Caenorhabditis elegans: one gene and its partner. The protein of the gene in region 2 purifies or fractionates together with the protein of the main gene of each other region. This does not show direct contact. Each region holds a gene or a part of one and is shown on either strand. Other genes may lie near its edges.

Region 1 (3,925 bases), 140 kb from region 2:
TTTTTTCACATAGATATTCGGAATCAGGGGAAAATTTGGAGTCATTCAAGAGCATTTTAACAGTTTTTTCACCAATTTTTCAATTAAATTTTCGATTTTTCAATAAAAAATTGAATTTTTCAGGGAATGTACTTCGTTTCGAGCGTCCTATTAATGCGTATGAACGTGCCCGAGGAGTATCGAACGATTCTGACGAGAATTCTCGGCGATTTGAAATTCAACTTCTACCATCGCTGGTTCGACGTGATTTTCCTAATATCCGCCGTCTCTTCTATTGTTTTCTTGACACTTATTCACAAATCCGGTTCTTCAATGTTTAGGGCATAATTATTTGTTTTTGTGGTTTTGTTGCTGGTATTTAAATTATTTTAAACTTCGGGTCGCATAGAATTTGAAATTCATTTGATAAAAAAACATTTTAAAATTGAATTGCGTTGAAATTTGGTAAAACTCGTAAAAGGAATGAAGTAAATACACAAGATATATATAAACACGAGGTAGCACGCTCCCCTCGAAGCCGAATAATTATTCGAGCGCGCTTGCTACGCTTCGCGTTTCAGCGTCGGCTGAGTTTTGCTTTTCCACTGAAAATAGCAGATTTATCGAATTTTTAGCTTAAAATTTTTTTTCGGCTTTTTACGAACCAACCTTTTGTTAAACGGTGAAAATCAAATTTAAAATGACTAAAATGAACTTTTTTCGTCCACTGGTTGTGAAATGGTTTGAATTTGAAGACATCAGCGGGATTTTTCGTATTTTCTGAATATTTTTCGATTAGAATTCGGTTTTAAACTATTTTTGACTCTAACGTTAGGTTACAAGTGCATTAAAACCGATTTTTAATTGAAAAATATTTAGAAAATAAGAAAAATCCCGTTGATGTCGTCAAATTCAAACCATTTTACAGCCAGTGAACGAAAAAAGTTCATTTTAGTCATTTTAAATTCGATTTTCACTGTTTAACAAAAGGTTGGTTCGTAAAAAGCCGAAAAAAAATTTTAAGCTAAAAATTCGATAAATCTGCTATTTTCAATGAAAAGGCAAAACACCGCGGGCACAGAAACGCGAATCGTAGCAAGCGCGCTCTAATAATTATTCGGCTTTGAGGAGAGCGTGGATAGTAATTTAAAGTTGCGCGGTGCCAATCTCCTCATCCGTCTGTTGCTCCTCGTCAATGTCGGCGAGCACTTCGAGAAGAATCTCCGTGTCATCGTCGATTTTTCGCATTTTTTCGTCGAGATCTCCGAGTTCGGCGACGAGACGCTGATTTCTGTCCATTTCATCGTCCAGATCCATTTGCAGACGGTCAGCCATCACGCGAAGATAGTTTACAGTTGGTTTTTCAGATGTTAGATCGGCTTCTGTGATTTTTGGTTGAACGTGTGGGACGTTGATGATCGTTTGCGTGGACACTGTGCCGTACTGCAATTTTTTTGATTTTTTTAAAATAAAATTTCAAAGTTTTAATAAATATCTATTATACCAGCTGCTTTCTCGTGTTCTGATGAATTAGCGATAATATACAAAGCATTGTAGATATATTTATGCCGATAAATCTTTTTAATCATCATTTCATACCTCAAACATCTGCGTCTCCACGTTTTTTGCCTCTTGATCATCATCACAGAACACGTCGAATGGAGATAAAACCGGTGTGATTGTGGTGGCAGAAGCCAGCGGGGACGGTGTGATTGGCTGATATTTCTTGAGTTGGGCGGTGAGCTTCAGCGGTTCTGGAATTTGCTTGGTGCCGGTGGCCTTCTCGGAGCCAAATGGACTGTTGCGTGCCGAGTTGTTGAGCTGTTGAAGGCCGATTCTGCTCATCTGAAATTTTTTTTGTTGAAAATTACACAAAAATAAGCAGAAAAAATTGAAATTGCGGCGAAAAATGGTGAAAATTTGAGTTCAAAATTCAAAAAAATAGATTTACGCGGGCCCCTAGGCCCGTAGGGTCTCGCCACGAAGCACGAGAAATTAAATTTCGAACCCTGCGCCTTTAAATTTACCGTACCCCAAAAATCGATTTTTCGGTGCAATTTGGAGAAATTAAATGAAAAAATACAAAAAAAAGAAGAAATAACCAGCTCTGATGATAAAAACAGAGAAATTAAATGAAAAAAAGACATCGACAAGGAGCAAAAATGCATTTTATACAGAAAAATAAGTATTTTTATAGCAAAATTAGAAGAATCCGGATTAATCCGAATTATTTACAGGTGCTCGTGTCGGGTTCTTCTTCGGAATCGCCGTTTTCACTTGATTTTTTCAATTTTTCGTTTCCCAAATCGAAGAGTCGCGTGTATTCAGTCTGTTTCGCGTCGAGCATCTCCGATTTTCGACTTTTCTCCACTTCCATCTGCAAAATCAATCGATAACTGTATATTAATATATCGCGTTGGAAAAAAATAAAACCTTCTCATTCAACGCTTTAATTCGATCCACTTCATTCTGTCGATTTGCAACAATTGACTCCCAATACGACATTTCTGGATTTTCCGTGTTTTTTCGATATTTTGTAATCGATTCCTCTGCTGTCTGTGTTGTCATATTTTCTACAGCAATCTAAAATAAATATTTTTCAATTTTTTTTTTTTTTTTGAAAAAAACTTACCTCTTCAGTCTGACATCCGACTTCTGGGGATAAATTGTTGGTTGTTGGCTCCCCGAGCACTACAAAATCACTCATCTCGAGAAAAATCGATAAAAACTGGCTAGAAATTGGTGAAAATGGTGTTGAGAGACAGGTGTTAGATTCGAAACACCCGCCATTGGTGAAGTGCGGTGGAGCGCGAGTGCGCCGCGTGACGTCACGGCTCCGTTGAAATGCAATTACATGCAATATTATAGAGATTTTCGAATAATATAAGAAATTATTGTTAGTTTCTGAATGAAATCTGACCAATAAATGATTAATTACAACATTTTTACAATATATCGTATATTTTGTATTTTAAATTGCTCTTTAAAAAATCGATCGATACACCATAACTTTATTTTACTAGAATAGTATATAAAATTCACTTTTTTTCCATTTTAATGCCAACTTCCTCCCCCAACCAACCCCAAAATCGTTAAAAAAATCGTATTTTTCATTCACAAATGTAGTTAATTTTAAGATTTACAGAACTAATATTCTATGAGCGGAACAGGATTGTTCAAAATGGTGTTGCAACACCAATTTGACGGCCTACTCGAAGTGATGCCTGGTTTGTAATTTTTTTTTCTTAAGAAATTTGAAAAATATCTCGATTTTCCAAAAATTTTCTCTTTTTTACACAAAATTTGTCGAAAAAGATTGAAAGTAATACAATTTCGTGATTTTTGCGCCAAAACTACGGTGCCCGGTCTCGACACGACAATTTTTAGTTAAATTGAACAAGGTGTGCGCCTTTAAGGAGTACTGTAGTTTTAAACTTTCGTTGCTGCGGGATTTTCGATTTTTTTCAATTTCAAGTAAATTTAAATTAAAAATTTTTTATTTAAACAAACTTTAAAAAAAATCGGATTTCTGGCTTCCCTCCATAAATTGAAATGGAAGAGTTTTTTGCCGAACTAGGCCAGGCCATATCTGGGGTAGATTTACGGCGCGTTGCGTGTCGCATCGCGGCTCGATTATAGTCCGTGAGGAGTACACGACACTTTTCCACGCGAAAAATTCAATGAGGAAGGCCTGAACCCCGTATTAAATTACAGTAACCTTTAAAGGCGCATACCTTTTCCATAAAACAAAAATTTGTCGTGGCGAGACCTGGTACAGTAATTTTTGCGCAAAAAAATCCCCAAAATTCCAGAAAATCCCCGCAAAAAACTTCGATTCACTTCTCGGCATATCGCTGCTGTCAATCGATATCTAGATGACAAATATTTTGATCCAAAGGAAGAAAAATGGTCAAATCTTCATCCCAAATATCGAATAGTTTTGGAG
Region 2 (3,925 bases):
AAATGGAGATAACACACAGCAAGCGAGAGAGACGGGGAGAAAAACGAAATATTTTGGGCGAAAAGGCAATTTGTGAATGAGTGATAGGGACATGTATAGCGCCCCCCCGAAAAGTACCATAAGGCGCCAAGTTGAGTTATTTTATAGACTGTTGATTTGTTGCTGGGAGGTTTGAGATTTGAGATTCTATTACACTGGTTTTTGATCTTTTTTATTTGAGAATGGTGATTCACAACTTCCAGCATTAAAAAAAATCTGAAAGTGCACCGTATATTCCCTTTTAGTATGGCGCCCCCCTCACTCGACTTTGACCGTTTATATCTCGGTTCTCTTTGATTGATCATATTTCAAAAATTCAAACGACAAAATCTTTTTCAAATCTATTGTTATGCTCTGGTTTTTAAAGGTACCAAAAATCTTCTGAAACCGCTGAAATATAAGCCGACAAAGTCAATTGATAGGGGGGGGGGTCATACTAATAGGAAATATACGGTAGTATAAACTGCTATACACACCTAGTTCAAAAGTCATGGGGTACTTAGTAATTCTATTCTAGTTAAAGAAAAAACAGTCCCGCCGGATGTCAGTTGCTGTAAACAAAGTTATGTAATTATGGCAATATCAAGGATGTGGAAAAAATCAACAGCAACATTTTGTTAGTTGGAAATTTTTTGCTAGCAGTTATCATATTCGAGTTACCTATACTTGTTTGAGCAATTCAAGCAAATCACCGTAAAAGCGAAAATAGCTAATATATAAACTTAAATGAGTTCAGGAAAAAAACCTAAATCCTAAAAGCTACGTTTTACATAAGACATTAAAATACGGCATACCTTACAAAAAATCGATATTGGTATAATTAGAACCACAGCTTCTGACACTTTGCCCCTTCTCTACCGTACCATAAAACTGATGTAAAGTGTCTGTTATCGATATAGTCTTCTCCTCTCCTTTTTTGCCTTTTCTCCAAAAAAAAAAGAGTGTCGCCAGTGCGTGTTTATACACGTCGTCGATACACACACACACACATATACAACTTGAAAGGGTCGCCGCTGGCGCCGCGAGGAGAGTGCACTCTCCGATTACTGTATGGGGGCAAAAAAATGAAGAAGATTCTATATAAGGAAGAATGACGAACAAAAAAAGAGATGATCGGAAGATAAAGTGGTACGGTAGGAATTGAAGGCGCGTGTGTGATTTGATATCGATTACTAATTGGGCAAGGGCGAGGCGAAATTTATGGGTGGGGGAGGTCTCAACGGTAATTAATAATTTTATGATTGTTATGCGGAAAAGGAAAGGAATGAGATCCAAATAGGCTGCGAATTGACTTATGATCTTTTAGAAAGTTCCGAGTTACGGAGCAGAAAACCGTGTTCTCCTACCCTTGCAACTCGCGGCGGTAAGATCAAAGCTAGTGATAGCGAGGAATGCGGAGGTGGGCGGGCAGATGGAAGAGCACAATGACATAATAGAAGTGAGATGTTGGAACTAACCACTTAAATTTCCATCGAGACTTGGAATGGAGTAGTTAGCTGTGAATTGATACGGTTGTCCGTATGAGTACCAACCAGTTGAGGCCAGCGGATTTTGATAGAAATCCGTGTAGACCGGGTTCATCATCATTCCAAACTCGTTGGCAGTTGGCATTCGACTTGGTCCGAACCCATACATCCCTGCTGTTCCAGGCATAACCATTCCTGTGCTGAAAATGATAGATGTCATTTGCCAAATCAACTTCACACTAACCTAGACGGCGCTAGCTGTGGACTCGACCCAGTTTCAGATTCTCTTTCCGAACGGCTTTCTCCTTGTATCGACGGTATGGCAGCAGCAGCACTTGGCCAGAAGAATGGAGTTTGTTGGACAGAGGTGATAGATTCTTTAGAGTCTTCTGGAGAGTCGTTATTAATCATTTGTTGCATCACCGAAATCATTCCATATATGAGCAGCTTGGGGAGTTATTTGGGTTTGGAGATCTGTTTTTGAACCTGAAAGTTGAGCACTTTGCGAGATTGAGCTTGAAAAAGTAAGGAAAAGAAAAACGAGAATTTAAAAAGCTTATATTTGAACACTACTGTAGCACTTGTGTCGATTTACGGGCTCGATTTTTGAAATGAATTTAGCACGGCTTGTAAGAGCTACAGTAGTCATTTACCGTATATTTCCTATTAGTACGGCCCCCCTCACTCGACTTTGAACGCTTATATCTCGGTTCTTTTTGATCATATGTCAAAAACTCGAACGACAATATCTTTTTCAAATCTATAGTTATGCTCTGGTTTTTGAAGGTATCAAAAATCTTATGAAACCGCTGAAATATAAGACGACAAAGTCGATTGATGGGGGGCCATACTAACTAGATATAAAGCTTTAGCTACGATATATTTAGGATTTTGACGCGGAAAATTAATTAATTAGTAAATAAGCTTATAACAGTAATTATTATTTATCGGCGACAAACGCGGCAATCAAAACCTTAAGCACCAATAAAATAATTTTAAACCTCATAAACCTTTTGAGGGTAATAAAATAAAAGCTGGGGGGGCACATAAATAACATAAATGTTGAAACATGCATGCGAGACAAGTAATAAAGATTAAGAGAGCACTAAAAAAGTTTTATAAACGCATTAAAAAGGTGTTTCCTCTTTCCCCCTTGTGTTGGAAAACACCAAAGAGACTATAAAGAGAATAAGGGGCGGGGGGCCGTGAAAGGTGATGAGGCCGAGGAGCAGAAAGGAGGACACTACATAACACGCACGCTCCACCCACTTGTCTACCGTACCCCTCTGACGAATTGGGCGGCGAGGAGCGGGGCGGGCGGGGAACAGAGAATGAATAGGAGAGACAAGTTGAGTGCAAAAAGCAAGGGAAAAGCAAATTCCATGATTTTGACAAATATCAACTTTTTATTCCCATATATATGATACAAAATTTGAGCGTTTTTTTTTCAATTTTATTATATCAATTCATTTGAAAAAAAAACCCGACCTCCTGCACTCCGTATTCTATGATATAATTTTAGTATAGGAAACCTTCCACCAATTTTACGACTGGATTACCTTCCGATCCGATTTGCCTTTTAGTCAATGGACAGGAAGAGAGAAAGAGAGGTCGCCACTTTTTTTTCTTTTTTCTCGCTTCGGTTTCTGGTCATTCTATTTTTCTTGTCAAGAGGATTTAGATTTGAAATTTAAAAAACCCCCTGAAGCTTGAGTATTTAAGCTTCCCGCACACGTGGTGCCAGAGTGTCTCATTTTGGATTGATCTACGCTGATCTACCAAAAAATGCGGCAGAGTTCTCAATTGATTTTGCATGGTTAAGAACGTGCTGACGTCACATTTTTTGAGAAAAAAATTACCGCATTTTTTGTAGATCAAACCGTAATGGGACAGCCTGACACCACGTGGCGGCTTATACCTCGGCTGTCTTCAGTTTTACCAAAAAATTTGCAATAACCAAAATATAGGGAAACACTTTGCACTTATTTTGTCCGTTTGCAATTGTTTGATAAAACCAAAGCGAACCGAGTTTTAGGCTGTCAAAGTAGAGCAGGGGGTGCTTTTTTAGAACAGTTTTGATTTTTTAGATACAGGTTTTTATTTAAATTTGAGACCCTAAAACTATCGTGAGACTTAGGCTTAGACTTAGGCTTGAGCTTAGGCCCTTTGAAATTCTAGAAACTTATTTCTGGAAAATCAGAATGAAACTTTTCAAAAAAAAAAAGGATTAAATGCTTTTATGGCGGTTCAAAATTTTGAAAAAACACCTATATTCAGCTTTTCCGTGTCGGAGAGGTTGGAGACTTTTTTGTATTTTCCTGGGCTTCCATGTAGGCGTGAAGACGCCTGCCTGGCCTTAAGGCGACCTCCGCCTGCCTTCCGCCTCAATCCGCGCTTTATGCTCTTAATTAAACTTCCAT

What was found.
Region 1: the proteins of nob-1 (region 2) and gmn-1 purify together in Caenorhabditis elegans (affinity purification with western blotting, with the first as the bait; one study listed by BioGRID). This does not show direct contact.

The regions. Positions count from the first base shown.
Region 1 is NC_003281.10:12,223,508-12,227,432, forward strand, and holds gmn-1 (Geminin homolog), read right to left. Parts: upstream 1,825-3,925; coding exon 1,579-1,824; intron 1,423-1,578; coding exon 1,126-1,422; 3' UTR 381-1,125; downstream 1-380. Other genes in the region: gphr-1 (Golgi pH regulator), read left to right, coding at 124-327; Y75B8A.18 (Clathrin light chain), read right to left, coding at 2,207-2,356, 2,413-2,562, 2,612-2,686; Y75B8A.19 (RING-type E3 ubiquitin transferase), read left to right, coding at 3,161-3,206, 3,792-3,925. UniProt on the Caenorhabditis elegans protein: Inhibits DNA replication by binding to the DNA replication licensing factor cdt-1. Its interaction with cdt-1 prevents the cdt-1 loading of the mini-chromosome maintenance (MCM) complex onto DNA and therefore DNA replication licencing.
Region 2 is NC_003281.10:12,082,326-12,086,250, forward strand, and holds the start of nob-1 (Homeobox protein nob-1), read right to left. Parts: upstream 1,992-3,925; 5' UTR 1,938-1,991; coding exon 1,750-1,937; intron 1,706-1,749; coding exon 1,497-1,705; intron 1-1,496. UniProt on the Caenorhabditis elegans protein: Transcription factor, involved in posterior embryonic patterning, morphogenetic movements of the posterior hypodermis, and cell fate specification. Binds to the 5'-TAGT-3' motif in regulatory elements of genes, including Meis protein psa-3 and microRNA mir-57.